Linked DNA regions of Drosophila melanogaster. Changing the gene in region 1 together with any one later gene gives a genetic interaction. Each region holds a gene or a part of one and is shown on either strand. Other genes may lie near its edges.

Region 1 (4,769 bases):
GGAGCCACTGCGCTAGCACCAATACCACTGGTCGCAGTAGTGTTCGTAGCGCTGCTACTGTTACCCAGATAGCCACTGTGGCCAGTGGTGCTGCTGGCGTCCACGAATCCCGATTCCGAGAGACTGGCCGCCGAGCGATTCAGACGAAATTTCTTGCGCAGCGAACTGGCATCGCCACTGCTGTAGTCCATCACAATGGATGCCTGTGTGGTGGCGCCACCACTGCGACGCTGCTTGTGCCGTCCCAGATTCCTTGAGCCCAAGGCGGCCACCTGGTCGCCATCCTCCTCGTCCTCATCCTCCTCCGCCTCCGCCTCCGCCACGTCTTCATCACTCAGCAGATCCGACTGCTGGTGATGCTGCTGCTGCTGATGGTGATTCAATTGCAAATGGCGAATTTTGCGCTTGCGCGAAGATGTCACCGTAGCCAGCTCATGTGGCGTGGATGTGGTCTGTGTAGAGCCACTGTTACCGCCCAGTTTTTTGGGCGTACGTCCCAGATCCAGATGCTCCAGCGAGGACTCCGATGTGGTGGAGTCCCGTCGCTGGCGCTCCATTTCCGATTCCACTGTGCTGTTGTTGTGCTGTTGCTGTGCGGCGAGCATTTTTCCAACGGCTAGTTAACTGTGCTGATTTAGAAGATTCGAGAGAAAAAGAAGAAAGGACTTTTAGAGATGGGTATAGATAAAGCACGTGTAATAAGAACTCTATCGAAAAATCGAAGCACTTGAACAAGTGTTGACACTAATTAGATAACTCGAAGACAAAAGAAGTGTATCAAATATACTAAACACTTATAATCGCAAGTATTTTTATTACTTTTTGTCCAACCCCACCAAAGTTTTGCAACACTCGCTGATTCAAAAATGTAATTACTAGCTTTATGAAAGTCTGAAGATGGAAAGAAATCACGCGTAAACAAATGATATCCACACTGACAGCGTTCCATTCTGTAAACTGGGTGTAGGGTTCAATTAATAACAGAAAATCGATAGTGGGGCACCCTGCATTCTCCAGTCTTCGATTGTCGCGTAATACTAAACTAAATCTTGAGTAACGTAAACAGCTGATTCAGGCAAGTAAACAATGCAACGGAAAGATGAAAAAACAGAAGCGGAAAAGCTATTTGAAATCGAGTTCCTGTGAAGAGCGAATAAGAAGAATTGGCGACTGTTGCAAGTGCATCCGCAGAAAGGTGCGAAGAATTGAATTCAATACACATCTGGCAATGCTGCTCTTATCAAGAATTTCGGTGTGTGGGTGAAAAATGTGGGTACACTCATTAGCATTTACCGTTATCAAGGCTATGACTATGAGCGGTGTCCCAGTTGTTGTCGTTGTTGTTGTTTCTTTGGGTGGTAGTGGATCGATTTGAAAATCCTAACTTCCCCCCGAAAGGCAACAAAAATAAAGAAACTCTGAAACCTCAGAGGCTGATCAAAAATTTCTACCGATAACGAGCCCACTGTTCGCTATATATACATACACACATGCATACATCCAGTCATATACACATATAATTTTTTCGGTAAATGTGTGTTAGTTGTTTGTTGTCCATTGGCTTTCGGTTTGGCCTTTCATTTTGGTTGGCTGATTTCAATTTCGTTGTCCATGAGTCATGAAAAGTCATTGAGATAAAGATTCCCTCCCGAATATATACTTTTTGGGGCGGGGAATTGTTGGGCGGTTTTCACACCTTTATGACCCTTGGGAATTATCAATGAACACAACTTGGTCAGTGAAAAAACAAATTTCTAATCGCCATCTAACGGAATCAAGCCGAGTGAAGTGAACCGTTTGACATGGAGCACAACCCCTGCGATATTAAACAGATCATCAATCTGAATTAAACCCTATAAACGTCGCCTCATCATCCCTGACCACGGAAATTTCTGGCTTTTCGGACTGGACTGTCTGTGTGTGCGTGGTGTGTCAAAGTTCAAGGGTTTTAGCATCGGTCATGGGTAATTTTTTGACCCGGCTAATTGCAGGCAGAACTTGACCCAAAACACCAAGGGAGGGGTTTTGGGAATGGACTTGAATTGAAATGTTTTCAAACATTGTGATCGTAGGAAAATAATTTTATATAAACATTTTCCTTTTGATTTAATCGGAATATAATGAATTTGGATCATTAAATTATTTTAACGATTTACGGAAGAATTAAACTGGCATATATATTTTCATTACTTCATCTTTTTTAAATAATATTTCTAATATCTAAGTCGATTTTAAAACACTGCTGCACTTCAATTGCATTTAAAAATTGCATTTCAAATGTGTTTGAAAACTAAGCTTTTAAATTTTATTTTAAAACGGTTGTGCTAATTTTAAATTCAACAATTTTTGTTCTTAACAATTTAACACAAAAATGTTAGCTTAGCTGAAGACCCAATAACTTTTCCAATTTCATCCTTTTGATAATCCATGTTTTCTGCGCTCGATTATTTATCCAAAGCAACAACAAATTGTTCACGCACAAATCACAGAAACAACATAAAAAAAAATCCAAAACAATCACTGTTAAAAAATTACCTTAGTGGATATTTAGTTGTGAAATTGTGTTCAACAGTTGCGACGGCATTCCAACTCCGGATTTCGCACTGTTTTAGGCTTGGTTCCCGTTGAAAAATGATTTTTGGTGGCTTTTTGGTGTTTTGTGTTTTATGTTTAGTGTGTAGGTTTTTTTTTTAATTCTTGTCAGATAACTTAATTCAGATAGCACTTATTTTTTGGTTCACTTAATATTTTTCACACTTCTTTGGCCTTAAAGCTTAGTATTCCAAAAATTCCCAATGGTTTGTCGTTTAAAAAAAAAACGTGAAAAAAATATGCAGTTTGCGTTTGATATTTCTTTGTAGGCTTAGAATTGAGAAATTCTGTTTATGTTTTATTATATTTTTATTTTCTACAAGTTAGTTATTTGATTTGTCTGCTTTTGAGTTGGTTTCTTGAAGCGCCGCGCACGAGTTTTGTATCTTATTCTCAGCGCAGCCGCAGCGCAACCGATTCGGCAGATGAAAATCGACTGATGTTGTATTTATAAAGTTGTATTTATAAATACAACGGCTGCGCTGCGCTGCCGCCGGCGGCGTCGCTGTCCGCGAGAGCGAGAGCGTAAAATTTGAAATGAAAAGAGAAAAGAGAGAAGAGAGAAGCAGTCTGGTTTTTCTCATTTTTTTTTCAACGGAGGCAGCGCAGCTTGGATTTTCTTTCCTTCTCATTCTTCGTTTCAAATTTGTCTTCTTCTTTTTCTTTATTTGGCGCAAATAGGATTACACATTGGGTGCGTGTGTGTGTGTGTGGAAGAGCGAGAGGGCCGTACTCATCTTTCATTGGAATTGGAAATTACAGTGGACACTTGACAACTGGAAATGGGATGCACGATACTAGATCTGAGCGTAGAAGAAGTATATCTAATCGAAGATGCATTATTTGTGTAGTATTTCCTTCTTTTAATATTTATGGAATACTTCAGTTTGACCTAGGACTTTAAACCAAAGTCACCATTTTTTTCAATAACTAGAAAAAAGTATTAATATCGGCAAAATAAATACTTCGGGAAATGAGTCTGAAATCTTGTTAAAAAATGAAACAAAATCAACGGATGTAGGATAGAAATGTGCCAGACTACCAAATCTCCAATTGTCAACTTTTTCTGCCTTCTATACGAGTGATCACTGTATGTAGCACCCACATACACATATGCATATGTCTGGATGCATTTTGGATTTTTGGGCAAATCCCGTTGCCATTGGCCACGCTGGCCATGTTTGTTGCCCTTTCTGTCGCACTTCATCTAGCGATGAGCACATCCAGATCTTCGTGTACATATGCCCATACATATGTATGTATGTATGTATGTATGTATGTATGTACATACATATGTGCTCATCCATAGCTGTGAACATCCCCATCCGTGTATCCGTATCCATTAACCCCCGAGCGGATACTTCCTGGCCAGTTTCTCAACCTTAACCTCTAGCTGTGCCCAGAACGGAAGTCGGAGACGATCGAGTCTCTTTTCGGTCCCTCTTTTCACCTTTCACCTTTTCAGGGTGCGTCATACAGCAATCAAGCAGCATTGAAATTAACATTAATGCACCGAAAGAAATGTCATGTAGCTGCCCGTAGTTCTGCGATTCTTTGGGGATAGCGTTCTCCAAATATAAAGGCTCTTTTTCCATGCTCTTCGATACTCATAGGTGTTTAGGTACCGTCGAGAGGTCAATTTTAAATAGTGTCAGCTGCCGAAAGAATGTACATATGTATGTATGTAAATTAGGTGACCAGCAACCCTTCAGCATCTCATCCAAAAATCGATGCATTCGATCGATTCTCCACTCAAAGAAAAATAATGCAAAACAATTGTAACAACAGAGGTAAAAATAAAAATAAATGAGCACAATAATACAACGCAAGCAAAAGCAGAAAAAAAGGCGGCGAAATTGTGCAAAAAATGCAGCAAGAGTTCAATACACTCGCCCACTCACACACACAGACACAAACACGCGCCCCTACGCACACACACACATACACACACACTAGAAGGCACAGCGACACGTGCAACGCGCTGTTTGTACACAATTTAATAATATTTACGTTTTGTTTATAATGAACTTGAAAAATTCGCACAGTGGTTCAGCGATTAAAAACTATAGCTCACTCAAAAGTGACAAAATTATGTTGTAATCATACAAATTTTTCAGAGATCTTAATATTATTAATATATAATTATCTTATTTTCGGAATTCAGTGTCGAAAAGAAT
Region 2 (4,561 bases), on another chromosome or scaffold:
ACATTGAGCCACTGAAGCGGATGCTTGCCAAGATCAGTAACGACGGAACCAGTAAGTAGATAATACCCTCACGTTTCGTTTTTTTCGCAGCTATTGCATTTTTAAATCGTTTGCTGATTACTGAAATGCTGTAAATGCTATAAACCGCGTCAAATAATATAATTTAAGAATTATATAATCGTTTTTGCGAGGCCAAATGCAAGGACTAACTAACCAAAAACAAAAGTTTAATGCAAACTTACTCGGGTTTATATATTTCCTAGTAGTTATATTCTCGAAGTATATGTTATCGTAAAACTAATATTATATCTTCTTTAATAGATGTGGAGAAGATGACAAAGATGAGCAAGTTGTTGGAGATTCTCTGCAATCCTACACAGCGCGTGCCGCTGGAGACTCTACTTAAGTGTGAAAAAGCGCTTGAGAAGATGGATCTCATCTCCTATTCCGGCCAGCAGTTTGGTGTAAGTATATCTACATCCAACGGGCCAATTTATTATATTCTTCGTTATACCTAGAAATCCTCAAATCCATTGCTGGAGGTTATAAATACAACGCTGCAAAGTCCTGTAGCAAATCACACATTGTATCGCACATTCCGACCCACTTTGGAGCTGCTCTTTGGTACGGATATAACAGCTCCAGTGCCCGCAAAGCGACCTCGGGTGGAAGAAAAGTCCACGTCTTTTGAGCAGGAAGTGCCACATGTGCTTCAAGGGGAAATTGCTAGGCTCGATACCAAGTTTAAAGTGAAATTGGACACCACGTCACAGATCAACAACAAGGCCATTCGCTTGATTTGTTGCCTGGATGACAAAAGGTTGCCTAGTGTTCCGCCCGTAAGTGTGAGTGTGCCGGAGGAATATCCGTGGCAGGCTCCGGACTGCTCCTTGGCGGAACAGGAGTATTCAGCCACCCCCTTCCTGCAGACGGTGCAACAAGCTCTCATTGCCCGCATCTCGAAGTTGCCCAAGAACTACTCGCTCTCACATTTGTTGGACACCTGGGAGATGGCCGTGCGACAGGCGTGTTCCCCGCAATCGAAACCCAGAGCAGTCTGTGAACTTTCCACTTTGCTGGGAGTTTAGCCCAACTATTTGGTTAAATTCAACTATAACATTAAATCTTAAGCTAAAAGTGCGTACGCTGCAAAAAAATTACTATTTATTTTAAAATCTTTCTAATTTCTGTTTTGTTCTAGATATATTTTTATATTTGTTGGAAGTTTTACCTAACTATCCGGCCTAATCAACTATAAACATTTTTTCTATTTACGCTGGGCAAAAAGTGTGGAAAGTTTAGTAAGTTTATATCTTGTTTAATTTTAAATCAATGGATATTGAAAATTTTAATTTCATTTTAGATTCCCAAAATGCCCCTCTGTTTTGGGTAAATACATTTTAACATATAAGACAAATGGCTTTTATAGCTAAAATAAAATAAAACCAATTATTTCAAAGAATATTGAGCTGCACCGCATTGAAACATCCTTCTATATACACAACACACTCATCCACTCATCAAGCAAAAAACATTCCACACTCAAGACTTAGTTCAATACCAAAATGGGGCTACATACTTTGCAAATTGTTTCAGTCGGATGAGATTTTTAAAAAGGTAAGCATAAACAATTTGGAATAGGGCTTGTCATTCTAAAAAAAAATTAAGTCACCGCAATAGACTTCTGCCCAATTACGCTTCCCTCCCAATTCATAGAATAACTTTAGTTTTCTTTGGAAAATATGTATATTTTCATTTGTTGAGATTGGAATCGTGCGATGATCCATTATTCTATTTGTTTTCATTTTCTTTTTTTCACATTTAGCAATAAATACAATTGTGTGTGTTTTAGCTTAAGAGAATTACACTGACAACTATGGTACAATAGAAAAGAGTTAAGAAAACTTAAATATCACAGATGTTGGACGCCGAATGCGTCTCTTTATAGTATGTACAAACACTAGGGATATTCAGAATATTAATCTGAAGAAGATCGCTTAGATAAGAAGTGTGCTGTGTGCTCCTGGAAAGAAGTGGCATCTATCCGATTTGGGTATTACGTATTGAATTTGAAGTTGATATATGCACAAAACGGTGACAAGATCTAGCTCCTAACTAAGCTTAAGTCTACACCAGCTACATGAGAGCGAGAAGGCATTTCGAATTTGACTCAGATGTTAATTTGTTTTGAAATTTGGTGGGAATTCATCTCTGTTTAGCTGGCGATACTGTGGGGCTGAGATTGGTTCTGATGCTGCTCGCATTGCTCTTCTCATCGCTGCACTTGAAGCAGGGTTCCGCCGAAGGTGAAACTGCTGGCCTGCTGCTGTAGCCTCAGCAGATCTTGGGCGCTGTAGACTTGCAAGCTGGCGGAACTGATGGGCGAGGAACTAGCGCTGGAGCCCGCCGGTGCTATCGCTCGCAAATGGAGCGAGGCATCGCAGAGGGAAGCCGCTACCGAAGCTGATGTGTTGTTGTTGGCCAGGGAGACATGTCGATTCACTCCGTTCGCCTTGTCCTTGTTGTGCCGTTTGACGTGCTTCGACAGGTGATCGCTTCTCATGAATTTCTTCTGGCAGACGCTGCACTGGAATTTCTTTTCACCGGTGTGGGTCCGTTTGTGTCGGGACAACTCATCGGAACGGGAGAATCGTTTGTCACAGTTCTCCCACTTGCAGATAAAGGGTCGCTCGCCGGTGTGAACCCTCTGGTGGGCCTTCAGATGACTGCTTTTGAAGTAATTCTTGCCGCAATCGGGAAAACTGCACTCGTAGATGCGACTTCTGGTGGCCGCCGCCTGGGCGGCCGTAATTCTGGTTGTTAGTTTCTCCTCGGACATTGTTGGCGTTTTGGGTACGGGTGTGGGGCTCTGTTGGGCGGCCACTGTGCTGAGCAGGATAAGTTGGCTGGCAGACGAAGCTACTGGGCTAACATATATCGGTGTCAGAATAGGTTTTATTTCCTCCTCCTTGATGCATTCCGCTGGAGCAGGTGGCGTTACAAGCTTCGCAACTGGTGTCTCGGGTGTTTGTACTGGGGGTAGTGCCACTTCTGCAGCACGCTTTCTGTTCATTTTGAACTTGAGATTGCGCCACACATTGGCCTCTGGATAGTCGTCCTCCACAGTGGGTGGTACTGAACTTGTACTTGTGTTTGTGTTGGAAGAGGAACTACAGCAGGAGGTGGAACTAGATGAGTTCTCGTCTTGGCTACTAGAAGAGACAGCGCCAGAACTGTTGACCCGCATGATGACGCTAACCCTTTCCGCTTTCTGATCATCGTCCAGCTTTTGATCCGGCGGCGGTGTCATGCTCATAGCAGGTTGTTCCAAACGGGGTTTCTTGTTGGGAACCGCTATTTCGGGAGCCTCGTCTTCCGTGTCCGATGGATTTGGTGTAATAATCCCTCCATTTTTCTGACTCTTTTGGGCCACCAGCTTGAGCTTTGCCTTTAGCAGATTCTCGTTCACCTGTTGTTCGTCCTTGGCGACCTGGAAAAGGAAAGAACAAGTTCAGGGTTAGTCAGAGTTCGTTAACATTGTCGAGTTTATGTTCTGAGGAGTGCATTCACATTCACAGTCCCATTCACTTTTCGCTGACCAGCATTGACCCACAATAACTTTTCCTCGCAATTCGCTAATTACGCCGGCGGCTGACAAGGCCGTTCACCGTTAACCTTCACACACCCTGCAATACCCCGCCCAACCCCAGGTTCAATGCTCCTTCGAAAGGCCAAGGGAACTTTGTTTTTGGCGGTTTTTGAACTCTTTTAAAGGCCGTTTGGGGTGACAGAATATTACTCATTAACTGTTGCTGCCAGCTGTGCTTTAAATTATAGACGTATGTAAATGTTAAAGGTGAATACTGTATTGATGACCACATAAAAGTCTTTAAATTGATGTGCTCCTGACAGAAACAAAAAATGTCTTAAAATTTTAAAAACTGTTCTTAATATGGACTTTTCAAATTTCACTACTTAATTTTTAAGGATGAAAACATGAGCAACTGTTGCGTTTTCGGCGCATATTCTAGAACCATTTAAAAATTGCGCCTAAAAGCATGCAAGGAAAATGCAGCCACACCACCAGTATTATTATGACGTGCCTCAGGTGGGTGATTTCATGGGGAAGGCGAATGCGAGGGGTGTATTATGACTCGTGCGAAGACGTCGAAATCTTTTTATGGGCTCGGCACGTTGCGCTCTAATGTGCGACAGTGTTTGTTTGTTTCTTTCTTGGCCAGATAAAAAACGAGCCAGAAATGTGACATGGTTTTATGGGTTGGGGCTTGGCCTGTTTGCCTAGCTTTTGGCTAGGCCCTCTCTTTCCTCTCACACTCCACCGCTCGCCTACAGTTGCCAATTGGCAACTCACCTTCTCTCTTTTGCTTTTCTGTTGTTTTTTCCTAGTGGTGCCAAGTCCAATGTTCAGCTGCGGCCTCTCGCTCGCACTCACACATCACTCGCTGTGCATGCGGTGTTCACGTGAAAGCGTGTTGGCTGCGTGATCGCATGGCTGTGTGCGAGTGCGAGCGGGACGAGGCACTTTGTTTTTAGAAACGCG

The links.
Region 2: of peb (region 1) and ush, changing one enhances a phenotype caused by changing the other (phenotypic enhancement), as found in Drosophila melanogaster (one study listed by BioGRID).

The regions. Positions count from the first base shown.
Region 1 is NC_004354.4:4,615,830-4,620,598, reverse strand, and holds the start of peb (pebbled), read right to left. Parts: upstream 3,036-4,769; 5' UTR 2,536-3,035; intron 630-2,535; exon of another isoform or gene 625-629; 5' UTR 606-624; coding exon 1-605.
Region 2 is NT_033779.5:474,715-479,275, forward strand, and holds the start of ush (u-shaped), read left to right. Parts: upstream 1-1,505; 5' UTR 1,506-1,617; intron 1,618-1,731; exon of another isoform or gene 1,732-2,272; coding exon of another isoform or gene 2,273-3,490; exon of another isoform or gene 3,491-4,561. Other genes in the region: MED15 (mediator complex subunit 15), read left to right, coding at 1-51, 322-464, 519-1,088; cbt (cabut), read right to left, coding at 2,273-3,490. UniProt on the Drosophila melanogaster protein: Transcription regulator that modulates expression mediated by transcription factors of the GATA family such as pnr and srp. Represses transcription of proneural achaete-scute complex (AS-C), which is usually activated by pnr.